3 linked regions of the Ovis aries genome follow. The protein of the gene in region 1 interacts with the protein of each later gene in a pairwise test. Links are inferred from orthologs where the notes say so. Each region holds a gene or a part of one and is shown in the gene's direction. Other genes may lie near its edges.

The links.
Region 2: the proteins of CDKN1B (region 1) and CCNA1 interact in binary tests that used the Homo sapiens proteins (3 or more experiments, as listed by UniProt). The link is inferred for Ovis aries from reciprocal best matches to the Homo sapiens genes CDKN1B and CCNA1.
Region 3: the proteins of CDKN1B (region 1) and CCND2 interact in binary tests that used the Homo sapiens proteins (3 or more experiments, as listed by UniProt). The two-hybrid records come from large-scale screens. The link is inferred for Ovis aries from reciprocal best matches to the Homo sapiens genes CDKN1B and CCND2.

The regions. Positions count from the first base shown.
Region 1 is NC_056056.1:202,779,857-202,785,389, reverse strand, and holds the start of CDKN1B (cyclin-dependent kinase inhibitor 1B), read left to right. Parts: upstream 1-2,339; 5' UTR 2,340-2,875; coding exon 2,876-3,350; intron 3,351-3,904; coding exon 3,905-4,026; 3' UTR 4,027-4,034; intron 4,035-5,533. UniProt on the Homo sapiens protein: Important regulator of cell cycle progression. Inhibits the kinase activity of CDK2 bound to cyclin A, but has little inhibitory activity on CDK2 bound to SPDYA. Involved in G1 arrest. Potent inhibitor of cyclin E- and cyclin A-CDK2 complexes.
Region 2 is NC_056063.1:25,413,064-25,417,854, reverse strand, and holds part of CCNA1 (cyclin-A1), read left to right. Parts: intron 1-2,746; coding exon 2,747-2,993; intron 2,994-3,157; exon of another isoform or gene 3,158-3,181; coding exon 3,182-3,306; exon of another isoform or gene 3,307-3,324; intron 3,325-3,765; coding exon 3,766-3,989; intron 3,990-4,791. UniProt on the Homo sapiens protein: May be involved in the control of the cell cycle at the G1/S (start) and G2/M (mitosis) transitions. May primarily function in the control of the germline meiotic cell cycle and additionally in the control of mitotic cell cycle in some somatic cells.
Region 3 is NC_056056.1:211,597,401-211,601,852, reverse strand, and holds the end of CCND2 (G1/S-specific cyclin-D2), read left to right. Parts: exon of another isoform or gene 1-2,648; intron 2,649-3,428; coding exon 3,429-3,578; downstream 3,579-4,452. UniProt on the Homo sapiens protein: Regulatory component of the cyclin D2-CDK4 (DC) complex that phosphorylates and inhibits members of the retinoblastoma (RB) protein family including RB1 and regulates the cell-cycle during G(1)/S transition.

The DNA.
Region 1 (5,533 bases):
TGCGTAGGGGATGAAAATATCCATTTTTTACTTTTCTGGAAGATATTAATTCCACGAATAAAATCAAACATCTGTGGCAAGGTGTAATACTCTAGAATGTCTCCATTTACATAGATGTGGTAGTTGTGTACTTATGCATCTGAATTTATGTTCATATAGAATACAGAATTTTGGTGTAGTCCAACAACTGTGTAAAGATTTCAACAACAATAATCTATAATTTCAGGAGTAGGGTATTGAGACCTACCCTAATTTTTCTGTCCCTCTTCTCCATCTTCTCCAGTTCAGTAAATTAAGTGGGGGCATTCGACCTAAAAAATAAAGAAGATGAGACCTTTTACTTAGATGCCAGATGAAATATTTTCTCTCCATCAGGTAGGAAGTCTGGCCTTTGAAAGCACTGTCTCTCTCACTGCTCTCTGGGTCTCACCCTGCCCCTTTGGAATCTGCATTTTAGTCATATTAAGTGCAAGGTCATACCAAAGGCCAGTGACAGTCCTATTTAAATATCAGGGACCACAGGCCACATCAAGGAAACAGCTGCAAGCAGCCCAGAGCATGAGAAGGAGCCATTTTGAATCATTTATAGGAGAGGAGGACCTGCAGACTATAGATAGGAGAATCACTCTGGGTAATAACCCAGAGAAACCTCTCTTGAGTCTCAGTTTCCTCAATGGTTAAAAGAGAAGGTTGAACCACAGGGTTTCCAAGGTTCCTCCTAACTCCTACATTCTGGAATGTCTGAAGCAAGGAAGGCACACAAAGTGGGCAAATACTATGTGGGTTAAGAAAACAAGTTAAATGTCAAACTCACCTGTAGCATAGATGCCTAAGAAAACTGTTGTGCACAATTGCTGTTGGGCACTGTTAGAACCGGAGATTACTTTCCAGTAAAATGTGTAACTTTGATCCAGAACAAAAGAAGGATAGGGAGGGCAGTTAAAGACCCTTTGTTTCAGATATAACAGCCTGTCCATCCTGTTTTAACTTCCATCACCTTGCTCAGGAGCACAGTTAGGTAAATGTCAAGTTGCAAAGGGGAGCAGAGAAATGCCGAAATACTGGGTTGACCAAAAAGCTCGTTTGGGCTTTTCCGTAGGATCGCCTGGAAAACTCCGAACGAACTTTCTGACCAACCGAACAATCTCAGACGTGAGGACACGGTTGTGGTTGCTTTAGAAATCACTTCGCAATCCGGACTTTCCGATTCCTTTCACTCTTAGAAGATCCGCCGCCCTTTAAAAGCGTCAGTCACTTGCATCTGAATGGTGTTCTGGGTGGGTTCCAAGAAGTTGAGTCTGGTGGGAGAGAAGGGTGGAGGAAGGAAGAAGCTGTTGTGTTTGGCGGCTGGACTCAGGTAGAGGAAACTGCTACAACCCGGCAAAGAATTGAAAAATACAAAGAGGAGACGAGTTCCCACACGCAGCCCACGTCAGTGAACTGTACTTGGGAGGCAAGAACCTGGGCCAGGGATCTAACCTCGCTTTTTTTTTTTTAAACTAAATGTGTCTGAGACAGCTACAAAGTTTATTAGGGACTTGGGAGATCAGTTGACTTTTTGATCTTGCAATCCTTTCTTATTTTTTATTGAGAGAAACCTTGGGTTCAGAATACATAATAAAGACTGCATCTATTCCAGGGTAATTTACAGAAAGACGTCCTCCTAGGCTTCTCACCTAAGCCCCTAACCTCCCCTAGAAATAGCAGACTTCTAGGTTAAGGCTGAACTAACCACTGCTCACCTCCAGCTTAAGGCACCCAGGCCGAGGGGCTCCCCGCCTCCCCCGCCATGTGAGCGATTGGGGGCCCCCGGGGGGGAGCCCAGCTAGGGGGCCGAGCTCCCACCCTGCGTCCCCCCATCCCCCGCTCGGTGAGTGCAGCGCAAACAAGATCGCCAGCCAAGGGTACCACCACCGGCGGCCGAGCACCTTGGAACTCTCCCCCGCTTTCCCGGGCGAGGAGCCGGGGAGGTCGGGGCTCCGGAGCAGTGGCGCGCGGGTCCGCGCAGCGCCCGGGATCAGAACACCCGCCGGCCGGCCCCGCTGCCCAGGCCCCTCCCCGGCTCCCCGGCCGTTTGGCGAGCTCGTTTGTCTTATTTGTAATTTCTCCTAGGCCAGCCGGAGCAGGTCTGCTGGCAAGCCGTGCGCCTCCCGCAGTCACGCGACCAGCCCCGGGTCCCGGCCGCGCGCTCGGCGGCGGCGGCGGCGCGCTCGGGAGGCGGGGAGGCGCGGCGGGGCCACCTTAAGGCCGAGCTCGCCAGCCTCGGCGGGGCGGCTCCCGGCGCCGCGACCAATGATCTCCTCCTCTGTTTAAATAGACTCGCGGTGTCAATCATCTTCTCCTTCGTCAGCCTCCCTTCCACCGCCATATTGGGCAACTCCAAAAAGGGGGCTCGTCTTTTCGGGGGTGTTTTTTTTCCTTCCTCCCCGCTTTCCTCTGGGCTCACTCTCTCGCCGCTCCGCGACTCCGCGACGCCCGCAAGGTTTGGAGACGGCGCTCGGGCGGCGGGACCCGCGGGCTCGCGGCGGCCCGGACTCGGAGCGGCTCTGCCCCCTCCTGTCTCGGCGGCGCTCGGCTCCCCTCCCCTCCGCTCCCCGCCCTCCCGCTTGATCGGCCGGGATCGGGGCTGCCTGGCCCCGGGGGGCTGCCCCTCGCCCCCTCCCCCAGCCCCGTGCGCGCCTAGACGCTCGGGCGCTGACTCGGCTCGCGTTTGTTTCTCTTGGCTCCAGGGGCCGGCGCAGGGCTTATAAAGAGGGGCTCGGGCTGGGTCGGGGCGTTTTGTTTTGTTCGGTTTTGTTTGGCGAGAGAGAGAGAGCGCGCGCAAGAGCCTCAGTCGCCGAGACCCCCCACCCCCACCCCACCCCCTGGGAGGAAGATGTCAAACGTGCGAGTGTCTAACGGGAGCCCGAGCCTGGAGCGGATGGACGCCAGACAGGCGGAGTACCCCAAGCCCTCGGCTTGCAGAAACCTCTTTGGCCCGGTCAATCACGAAGAGTTAACCCGGGACTTGGAGAAGCATTGCAGAGACATGGAAGAGGCCAGCCAGCGCAAGTGGAATTTTGATTTTCAGAATCACAAGCCCCTGGAGGGCAAGTACGAGTGGCAGGAGGTAGAAAAGGGCAACCTGCCCGAGTTCTACTACAGACCCCCGCGGCCACCCAAAGGCGCCTGCAAGGTGCCGGCGCAGGAAGGCCAGGATGCCAGCGGGGCCCGCCCGGCGGTGCCTTTACTTGGGTCTCAGGCAAACCCAGAGGACACGCATTTGGTCGATCAGAAGACTGATGCCCCGGACAGCCAGACCGGGTTAGCGGAGCAGTGCCCCGGGATAAGGAAGCGACCTGCCGCAGATGGTAATGACCCTTTCCGATGCCTAAAATGTCTGTCTCTGTCTGCCGCGCTCCTTTCCCTGCTTGAGGGTCTTTAACCGCAGCTTTCTTTTCAGCGCGTTCTGACTTAGCTTTTGGGGCGGAGGTGGGGGGAGCGCACTTTCCTACTTTGAGGTACATGAGTACATGCTATTTATTTAGTTGCCTGCTTGTCTGTTTATGACTTTTAAGTCAGAAGCTTGAGATTGTGTTATCTGATCATTTCTCTAACTGAAAACATCGCGGCTCCTCCCAGCTAGACAGCGGTAGGTATGTGACAATGTTGGGATGTTTATCAACTGCCTCCTTCTTCGCTTTGGAGAGAGAGCTTTGAAGCGTAGAAAATACACTTTCTGTTATGTGAAAACAACTTCATTTTGTGCCCTTAAAGGCCACTGGGAATGACGGACCCAAGATTGTGGGTGGAGGTAGTGGGTTTTTTGTCCCTTGACTCTTGGGCTCACTTCTGTCGGCCATTGTTTTTTTCTAATAAAGATTGTTTGTGTGTGTTCTTTTTAAAAATTCCCTCTTGCCCTTAGATTCCTCTCCTCAAAACAAAAGAGCCAACAGAACAGAAGAAAATGTTTCAGACGGTTCCCCCAACGCCGGTTCAGTGGAGCAGACGCCCAAGAAGCCTGGCCTCAGAAGGCGTCAGACGTAAACCACTCGGTGGGTTGATGACTTGGAGCAAATAAGTGACACCCCAGTTGGGTTGCAGGAACTGGTGGGCTTTCAAGCCCCAAGATAACCCGATCTCAGTGGGGGCTGGCCGATGAAAACTTGGGGGCTTTTGTTTTATGCTTTGGGAGGACAAAAAGGTAGGAATGGGGAAGACTGGGAATCAGTGGGGAGGTACTATAGTTCTTCCCAGTTTTCACCTCCTGAGATTATTTTCCTTTGAAGCACCAACTGATCAGAGCAAGTGTCCCAGGCAAGTTCTTGTAACCAAGGCTCCGTGAGTAGGAAGGTCAGTTCCCTGAAGGTGCCATCAAAACATGTCCAGAACAATAGGTTCTTTTTCCATCTGACCAAGAGCAGGGGTCTGCCTCCATCCCACTTCATGAGAATTCATCTCCCAGAGGACCATGTTGACTCAGTAACAGATTTTGAGCTCTACATGGGCAAAAATGGCAAATAAATGATTTAATTAAAACTTCGAGGGAAAAGTGAGGCACTTTTCCTCACTGAAAAAGTGGTTCATATCTGGATAATCAAATATTTATAAATGTGACAGAAATATATGACTTGCTTTTGTCTTTATCATTTTCATATGCTCTCACACTCTCTGGCTTCTGATAAGTTTGGAGGATGGAGAAGGAACCTGTGTGTTTAAAAAAAGTAAAACTGAAATGGAAGGCTCAAAAATACTAAGGTTCCTGCGGAATTTCTGATAACACTGAAGTTGCAAAGCAGAAGTGACTCTGCCAGAGTAAGCAATCCAGGAACACGTCAGCATGCGTATGCTAATCATGCTATAACAGGAGAAGCTGGGTGCTTGTAGAGGAAATGGAGAGTAGTTATCGGGGTTGGCAGGGGTAGGTGTACCCCCAACATTAGAAGTGGAGATTTTTGCCGTTTACTAAAATACGATCAATATGAAAAGCTAATTTGAATAATCAGCCCCCAGCTTTACATGGATTGGTCTTAAGGATCAAACTACACATATTCATAGTTTGTAAACTTATAATAACTATGTCCTTCTTTCTCTCTCCACTCTCACTAGCCTAGCATATAAAGAGATCCTAAGAAATGTTTACACTAACTTTTAAAATCCTCATTTGTAAAAATTTTAAAGAAGGATGAAGGTGAGGTTCAAGTTTGTTGTGTTTTTAAATCAGTGTCATATATAGGACTTGGCTACATATATGTGATATTTTTCAGAGCTTATATAAAACAGTGCTATGAAACCTCTACATCACAGCTTATATATATGAAGTAGGTAAATTGGATGAAAATGATTTCTGAAGTAACCCTAACACCTGCGGCTCTTGGTTTGTGACTTGTGGCGTAAGTCGTCAGATGAGCAAATCAGACCTGTTGAATTTTGATCTGGCTCCATTCTCACCTACCGAGAAGCACTTGTTAGTAAATATTGCCAGTTCAGAGAATACAGGAAATCGTAGTAAGGACCTATTCATAAGCATTCGTGTGTATATTTCTACATATGA
Region 2 (4,791 bases), on another chromosome or scaffold:
AAAACAACAACAACAAAACTTCCTCAAGTCTGTCATCACACCAGCTTCTCATAAGCTTGTACTGCATATCTATTGGCGGTAGTATAGTGGAGTAGGTGGGCAGGTATCCTTTCCATTGTACAGGTGAGAAAATTTGAGAGGTTTGAGAAAGCCTTCCCACCCAAATAAAAGTCATGATGGAGGCCAGATCAGAAGCTTCTCATCTACTGACTACTCCTACTCCTCTTCTACACAATGACACAAGTCATTTGTGTCTTGGTGGCATCTGGTTAGTGGGAGAAAATTACCCAAAGTAATCTGTTTCAAGCTTTGGAAAAAGCTGAGTAAAGGTGGTTTTAGCAAACTTAATTTGCTTAGCGACACGGTGTACTTCTTTAAACATGAAGTCTAACACAGTGAGGGAAGGAGAGAGTGGGATGAATAGAAAGAGTAGCACTGAAACATGTACATCACCATATGTAAAAGCAAGAGCTGGTGGGAATTCGCTGTGTGACTCAGGGAGCTCAAACCCAGCGCTCTGTGACAACCTAGAGGGGTGGGATGAGGTAGGGGGTCGGAGGGAGGTTCAAGCGGGAGGGGACATATGTATGCCCGCGGCTGATTCATGTTGATGTATGGCAGAAACCAACACAAATTGGAAAGCAAATACCCTCCAATTAAAAATAAACAAATAATTAAAACAGGAAGTCTAAAACCTCTCCTGAATGGGCAGTTACCCCTGTGCTTAGCGGTTTCACTGTAAATTCATAACTGTTAGTTACCCTCTATGTTGCTTGGTGCTACCTCTGCATTCCCCGGTTCTATTCCGCTACAACCGTCCTATAGAAATCTTTTATTTTATACTTTCCCTTCTCTCTTTATCCTCTAAAGCCTCTATCTCCATCCTGCCTCTCAGCTTATAACTTTATATCCTATTTTCCTAAAAATATAGATGCAACTGTGAGTTTCCACATGCCCCCAAGTATCGTATGCCCTGCCACCCTCCTCCCTGCGTGACCTATGTGTTCCTGCTCTTATGCAAGGTGCACCCCATGTGTGAGGCACACCTGATGCCCTCTTGCCTCTTCAAGGTTATCATTCCATCAGCTCTTCTTTCTCTACTGGGTCAAACCCAAATGCAAATATATTGTGATTTTTTTTTTCCCAACCTTAAAAACATTTCAACTACAAAGCTCTTTACAGCAACTGTTCCACGTATGGTGGTATTTCTTGAGAATTTTTCTACTATAAACTCTATCAGGATGGGGATTTGTGATACCAGGTTTTCTGCTGTACTCCCAGTGTTTAGAAAAATCATGCCCGGCCAGGGCCGCGTGCAAGTATTTGCTGAACAGATACTCTGTCTTGATTTCTCCTTCTGTTCTCTTAGACTCAATTCTTATTTAAAGTTGTAAATATTTGTTTAAAAATTATTGTCTATTTGGCTGCAATGGGTCTTAGTTGTAGAATGCAGGTTCTTCAGTTGCGGCATGCACACTCTTAGCTGTGGCATGCAGGGTCTAGTTTACTGACCAGGGATTGAATCCAGGTCCCCTGCATTGGGAGTGCAGAGTCTTAGCCACTGGACCACCTGGGAAGTCCCTCTCTTTGCCTCAATTCGTAATCCTTTCCTTACTTGTCTGAATGGCAGTGTTTGACACTGTTGGTCATTCTCTCTTTCTGGAAGTAGTTTCTTCTGACTTAGCCCAGAGAACATAGCTCTCTTCTGGTTTCTCATCTAGCTTACTGGTGACACCTCATTATCTTGGTTCTTCTTCATCCACTCTTTGAAAGTTAGAGTGTGCTAGAGCTTAGTATTTGATCTGAATTGGCACTCACTCCCTTCACAATCTGTTCAAGTCTCCTGGCAACAAATACCATCTTTCTGTTGATGATTCCTTCTTCTGTCTCTGGTCTGGAACTCTCAGCTAAGTTTCAGGCTCAAGTTAGCTATCTACTTGACATCTCTACTTGGATCATGCAGTAGGCACCTCAAACTTAGGTGAAACCAAACACTGACTCCAGGCCCAACCTGCTCTTCCCAAAGTCTTCCTCATTTCAATAAATGGAATATCCATTCTTCTCATTATTTAACCCCAAAACTTTGTCATCCTTGACTCTTCTTTTTCTCCCACCCCACACCTAACTTGCTGAGAAGATGCTGTTGATTATACTTTTAAAAATGTCTAGAATTTCATTTCTCTTTCTCATTATGTCATCTAATAGTGTTCCATAGCTTGTAAGAGAACTAACTCACAGTACATATTTCTAAAAGCATCATGTTTCTGAATAACTGTGTATAAATGGGACCTTTCCAGGAGCCTGTTGACTAAAAGTTGACTTTAAGGAGGACTCTGTAACTATGTGTCAAGAACCTTGCTGGGTTGTTATAAAAATCTGGCATGCTACAAGCACAAAAGCTGATTTACAGTCCCCCTCCACCGCCTCCCAACGTATGGTACCTAGTTCGCTTTGGAGAAGAGCTGTAGTTTTTCTTTTTTTCTATAATTTTGCATTCCTTTGATAAATATATGAAGAAGATGACAAATTTTAGGTTAGCTCCTTCCCCAGACGTCACATATAGACAAAGATAAGGGCAAAGTAATCCTCCGGAAGTTTCAGGTTCTGAAATTCAGTTGCAGACATGGATATTTCAAATTCAGATTCCTCTCATCTTTCCAGCCTGCTGGTTTGAGTCACATGTGTTCTTAGCACCTATGCGGGCTCTGGGGTAAGCCTCTAACACAAAAACTTCATCCTTTTCTAGGGGCTCACCACACTCAGGTGTTTCTCTGGATCAGAAAATGCCTTCCCTCCAGCTGGAAAGAAAGCGCTGTCGGACAGTAGGGTTCAGGCACCTGCCAAGCAAGGATTTGACATCTACATGGATGAGCCTGAACAGGGGGACAGAGATAGCTGCCCAGGGCGAAAGGGGATGGCATTAGAGGATGCATATGAAGTAGACACCAGCGCACTCAAGTCAGACCTTCACTTCCTGTTGGATTTTAACACAGGTAATGGGACTCGCCCATGGCTGACCATACCCTGTCTTCGCAATCGCCTGCAGTGTTCAGCAACGTAGAGCTAGCAAGAGAACTCCCTGGAGCAGTAACTGTGGAGCTGGAGCTGCCTGTATAGGGTTAGTGGATGGAACTAGTTTTGAAATGAAATGTCTTACCTGATAATGTTGCACCCCCTGCAGTTTCCCCTATGCTGGTAGATTCATCTCTCCACTCCCAGTCTGAAGATGCATCAGATTTTGGTACAGATGTGATAAATGTGACTGAATATGCTGAAGAAATTCATCAGTACCTTAGAGAAGCTGAAGTGAGTTTTCCCAACTTCTCCTTCAATTTCCAGCACCCCGAGCACTCTGTATTAACATAATTATATGCTCTTGGCCATGACCACTGGCGAATGGCATTCTTGTGACATCTAAGCATGAGAACGTTTATGAAAAATAATAGTTGGGTGCGGTGAGTAGCAGTTACTTGGACTGTTTCTCTGTGTCTCAAAAGAGTTTGAATATTAAGTATTTCACTCTTGGGAAGAACCATTATTGCCATGTCCCTCCTCCTTGAAGTTACTCGTTAACTAAATTGCATTACAGAGCCAGAATTGCACAGTTTGTTCCATATCATGATGTACAGATTTCTCTGGCTTTTGACTGAGTTTCCTGCTAACCTTTGCTCAGGAGCTTTTTAAAAATAGCAACTGTACTGTGGAGTGATCCTTATAAGATAACAACTATTTAAACATCAAAAAAAAAACTCTCTCCGCAAACAGATAAGACACAGGCCCAAGGCACACTACATGAGGAAACAACCAGACATCACAGAAAGCATGCGGGCCATTCTGGTGGATTGGCTGGCTGAGGTCGGAGAGGAGTACAAGCTCCGCGCAGAGACCCTCTACCTGGCTGTCAACTTCCTGGACAGGTTTCTTTCCTGCATGTCTGTTCTTAGAGGGAAACTACAGCTTGTAGGAACAGCAGCTATTCTCCTGGCTTCGTAAGTCCTTCAGCTCAAATAACATGAAATGTCAGCCTGTCTAAACACTTGATTTCTGTTCCCACTTATTGGAGAAATACAGTGCTTGATAATTAAAACTTACTCATGCCTCCTTGGATAAAATATCATTATTTTTACACTGTTTACTGAGAAACTGAATCTCACCACATGTTCACTCTTCAACTTGGATGTTTAAGATCCTCTTAATGACAAGTTCAGTATCATGACTAAGGCAACCATCAGCTCAAATTCAGAATCTAATTTAATTATTTTGTAGTAGTCTTTTGACTATATTCTACAGTGAGTAAAAGCCCTGTTTAAAGAGATTTGGGTTTATGTAAGCCTTCTCCAGGCTCTAGCAAGTGACTCATAATAACCCAGTGTATTTGGTTACAGTGAATAAACTATTGTAGCTAATTCCTGTTACTGTCAGTCATTCATAACAATATCTATTTGTATAGAAAAGTTCTGGGTTGTGGCTAAAAGTAAAAGTGTTAGTTGTGTCCAACTCTTTGCGATCCCAAGTACTGTGGCCCACCAGGCTCCTCTGTCCATGGCATCCTCAGGCAAGGACACTGAAGTGGGTAGCCATTCCCTTCTCCAGGGGGTCTTCCTAACCCAGGAATTGAATCCAGGTCTCCTGCATTGAAAGCGGATTGTTTACCATCTGAGCCAATAGGGAAGCCTTATTTGTGTAGAAAAGCCCTGGGGTTGTGGCTAAGTTTCTTTTAAATAAGTGACCTGATGGTGAATAGTAGTTTCCTTTCTATTCTTCTGGTCTCAGACTTTATACGTATTAATT
Region 3 (4,452 bases), about 8.8 Mb from region 1:
AGGGTTCTGGAATAGGAAGCTTGCCCTCTGAAAACCAGGGTTAACGTCTGACTACATGTGACTGGGGGATGAGCCAGCTCTAATTCGGTTCTCTAAGCTGGGAAGTGAGGGCCACTGGCTGTTACAGCTCCCCCTGCCCCAGAGCCCGTATTCTCAGATTCTGTAAGGATTTACCTGTGTCCACCTAAGAACCCCACCCGAAGACACACTGCCGTCACTCTTCCCCAGCTTTGCCTCTTGTTCCCTTCAGACTCCACAGCTTGTTCCCCCATCTATTTGTTTGTTTCCGTCTATAGGCTTGGCCGCCACCTCCCTCGGAGTCACACCCTCCACCCTGGTCCCTGCTGGGGAGATTGAGAGCCCTTTGGGCAGGCCTTGGTGGGGGTGCCAGTCTGCTGCGGGTAGGGGCACCAGCCCACCCTCCCTCCAGCCTCACTTTCCAGCAGCTCACAGGAAATTCACAGTCGTAGGAACTCCACAGAGGGGAAGGGCTCCTGCGATGCTGAAGGAAGGTGTTAAAATGCAGGGAGTGGGGAATTGCCTGGAGGTCCAGTGGTTAAGACTCTGCACTTCCACTGTGGAGAGCACCGGTTCTATCCTCAGTCTGGTAACTTAAGATCCCACATACTGCGGCCAAAAAAAATTATAGGAAAGAAATGCAAGGCATGAGCTCTGTTCTCCAGGAAGAAGGAGGCTGATTTCTTACCTTTGTGCCTCCAGCAGAGAACTTCAGCATCCTTTATGCAAAATGAGCTCTTGCCCTCAGGTAGGTTTTCATCCCACCAATAGCAACAGATCCCACAGTTAAAACTTGGATGCTGTCAGCAGTGGAACCAGAGGAGGGTTAGACTTGGACCTCAGAGTGCTTCCCAGGAATGGGAGAGAAAATTGGCTGCTGAGAGCCTTTGCTTCCTGCTCCATCCTCATTTCTGCAGCAACTGCTACGGTCCTTCCTTTTCTCTCGAAGCAAGAAGTATCAAAGAGGAAGAGCTGGTCACTGTCAAAAATGATTTACATTGACTGAAGGAAGGAGAGTCTGTGTTTTGTGTGATATCTTTCTTCATTTTATTCAGGAAAGCTTGAAGGTTTGGGGCTGCAAGTTAATGTACTTGTGATGTTCGATGCCTGTGTTATCTTGAAGTCCTGTAGAAGTGACTGCCCGGTGTACCAGCCCGCCCCGAAGGACTTTCTCAGAACTTTCCTTTTAGGGTCTCAGGCTGCTGGGAGGGAAGCCTGAATACCAGGAAGATCAGGCACCTGGGTGACCTGCAGGGAGACTGTCCATGACCCCCTATCAAGCTGCTTAGCTCTCTGGAGCCCCATCCCCATGTTCAGAGGACCACCCATCTCAGCCGCTGGTGTGGCTAATGCAGAAATGGTCATGGCATCCTGGGTTCATCGTATTGTTGGGTAGCAGTTGTGTTGACACAGAAACAGAGTCTTGGAGGAAGGAAAGTCGACAGGGTTGGTGGAGAGCTTCGTAGGGGACCAGCCAGAGCAGTGTTGACTGTTGTCAGTTTTTGCCTTGTTAACCTGATGCAAAGAGTGAACTCATTGGAAAAGACCCTGATGCTGGGAAAGACTGAGGGCAGGAGGAGGAAGGGGCAACAGAGGATGCGATGGTTGGTTGGCATCACCACCTCAATGGACATGACTTTGAGCAAACTCCAGGAGATGGCGAAGGACGGGGAAGCCTGGCGTGCTGCAGTCCGTGGGTTCGCAAAGAGTCTGCATCCCTGCTGGACGCTCCATCCCTGGTGCGCGTTCCTCTGTGCCCCTCACCTGTCTTGAGCAAATGCTCACTCGTACCTCATTTCAGAGAAACCTCAGGAATTTGTTCAGATTCCAAGACTTCCACTTTGTGATGAACGATTAGAGCTTCATTTGGACATCTCAACTGATCCTCCCTCTGTGAGCGTCTCCTGAGTCTTACATTACAAATGGGGAAACCAAGGACAGAGAAGGAGAATAACTCAGTGGTGCCCACAGGTCTGGTCGTGGGGACAGCAGATACCACCTCCCTCTGTCCCTCTTCACTCATTCTGAGTGGTATTTCGTATCTGCTCTCAGCGCTCGGTCCAGATGTTAATTTTCCTAAAAAGCTGTGGTTTAACAGTGTACGGTGGCCGAGAGATACAAAAGGAAAATGTGGGGGCATGGAAACTTTCCTGGGAGTTCCAACTTTATTTTAGATCTTTGGAAAATAGAGATAATGCTTGTGTGCTTGGCAGACTGCAACCTCTGGGCAGTGAAAATTGCGTGGTGGAGCAAACACAAGGGGAACATACATGAAACTCTGAAAAGACCCAGGCAGAGTGGAGTTCACATAGTTTCCATACGTTTACGAGAGTGCCAGGAAACCAGTCTTGATGAGTAGAGAGGTCGGGAGATGCTGAGTTGGCCAAAAAGTCCATTCAGATTTTTCCACAACATTTTACAGGAAAAGCTGAACGAACCTTTGGCCTACCCAGTATCTGCTGTGAGCAGTTACTTCAGCTCTCGCCCCGGTTGCTAGTGCCAGCCACCGTCCCACCCTGACGACGCCCATGAATTCCTGCTGCGTCAATGTCGCCCAGTTTAGAGGAGCTTCTGCGTGGGGCTGACACACCCTGAATCTTCCCTACCAAATATAGACTGATCTCAAAGCAGTGCTGCAGTTTTTTCTTTTTGCTTTCTCCCAAATTAGACGGCTTAAGTGTCCAGAACGTTGTAAACACTCTGTGTTGTGTTTTTTATGAGAGTTAAAGAAATGGTAAACAAGTGGAGAGGCGAATCTGCTTGTTTCTGAGTACGGTTGCAGTGGCTGGGAGGCTCAGTGTAGTTTAGTCCTTTCGCTTATATCTGCCCTTCAGGTCGTCTAGTTCTGTCACACTGTCTGGAGGGCTCACCTTCCCCTTTTCACACTCACCATGCAGTGGCCCCAAGCAGGAAGCATCCCGCTGGCCCTTGAGTTACCAGGTGCTGCATGGCCGCAAATGGCCCCTCGCCTTGGCCAGCGCTGCCCGGGCTTCTGATGAAATGCACATCCTGAGATGCAGCTGGTTCGGAGAGGGCTGAGAATCGCATTTCTAGCTAGCTTCCAGGTGGTGCGGATGCTGCAGATGCTGCTGGCCTGTGGACCCCGCTTGGAGTGGTTCCCCGGCCACCAGGAAGACGCACCTCCTTCCATGTTGACTTTCTTTCTACTGGAAGCAGAGAAGGACATGGCAGCCCACTCCAGGATTCTTGCCTGGGAGATCCCATGGACAGAGGGGCCTGGCGGGCTGGAGTCCAGGGGGTCGCGAGAGGCGGAAATGACCTGGTGACTACACCACCACCACCTGCTGGCGTGTGGAGTCAGGCGGGCTGGAATCGTGCGTGCTCTCTGTTGATTGCTGTGTCCCGGTGCCCTTGCTAACGGCCCTGGTCTCGATGCTTCTCTCTTCTAGGATTGCCTCAAAGCCTGCCAGGAGCAGATTGAGGTGGTGCTGCTGAACAGCCTGCAGCAGTACCGTCAGGACCAGGGCGACGGATCCAAGTCGGAGGATGAGCTGGACCAAGCCAGCACCCCTACGGATGTTCGGGATATCGACCTGTGAGGATGTGGGGCGGGCCCAATGGGAGGGGTGCGTCCAATCCGCTCTCTCCTTCTCTCTGGTTGTATTTGGTTCTCTTACATTTTAGGATGAAACTTAAAAAAAAAAAAATTCTGCCCCCACCTAGATCCTATTGAAAGATCTTTTAGAAGTGAGAGATAAAGGTCCTATAAAAACAAAATCATTACAAGCATTTGGTGCCTATTTGAAGTACAACAGAAGGGAATCCCTTATATATGCCAAGTTACTGTTTGATGATGTTAAAAGTCATAGTAATATGCTTACAGGAAAACCTGCAGAGTAGCTAGAGAAAAATGTACGCCTGCACTATGGGAACAAATTAGAGACTCTTTTTTTTCATGTTATGAACTAGCACGTATATACCCCTGTTGGATAATTTGGAAGAACTGCGGATGCCACGTATGGCAGGATTGGATTGTGAAGCAATGAACTTGAGAAGGAATTAGGAATCAAGGAGGGACAGGATGGGGAGGGAGTGACAAACGATCTCAGCGCAATCGAACCATTTTGGGTGGAGAAGCGCCTAACTCCCAACCACCTGTTTGTTGCTAAGCAATGCTGGGTCTCTAGTGACAAGTCTTGCTGCCTGCCGTAGCTGCTACCTAAAAGAGATGTTCTGTTTTGCCCGTTGGACACAGGTGATTGGATCCTGGGTTTCATGTTTTTCTATACCTTGCTTCTTCTTCCAAACTCGGTTCGTTGCAGACACCACCCCATTTTTATCTTAAAGGGGCAATCTAGCTATGGGCCATCCCCCAAACTCTGTGAAATGGAGGCAGACGGAGCCCCAGGGTGGGATCTGGAACTTTTTTTTTTTTTCTCCTGAGGTGTTCAAGAGAGTAATGTGACCTTGGCA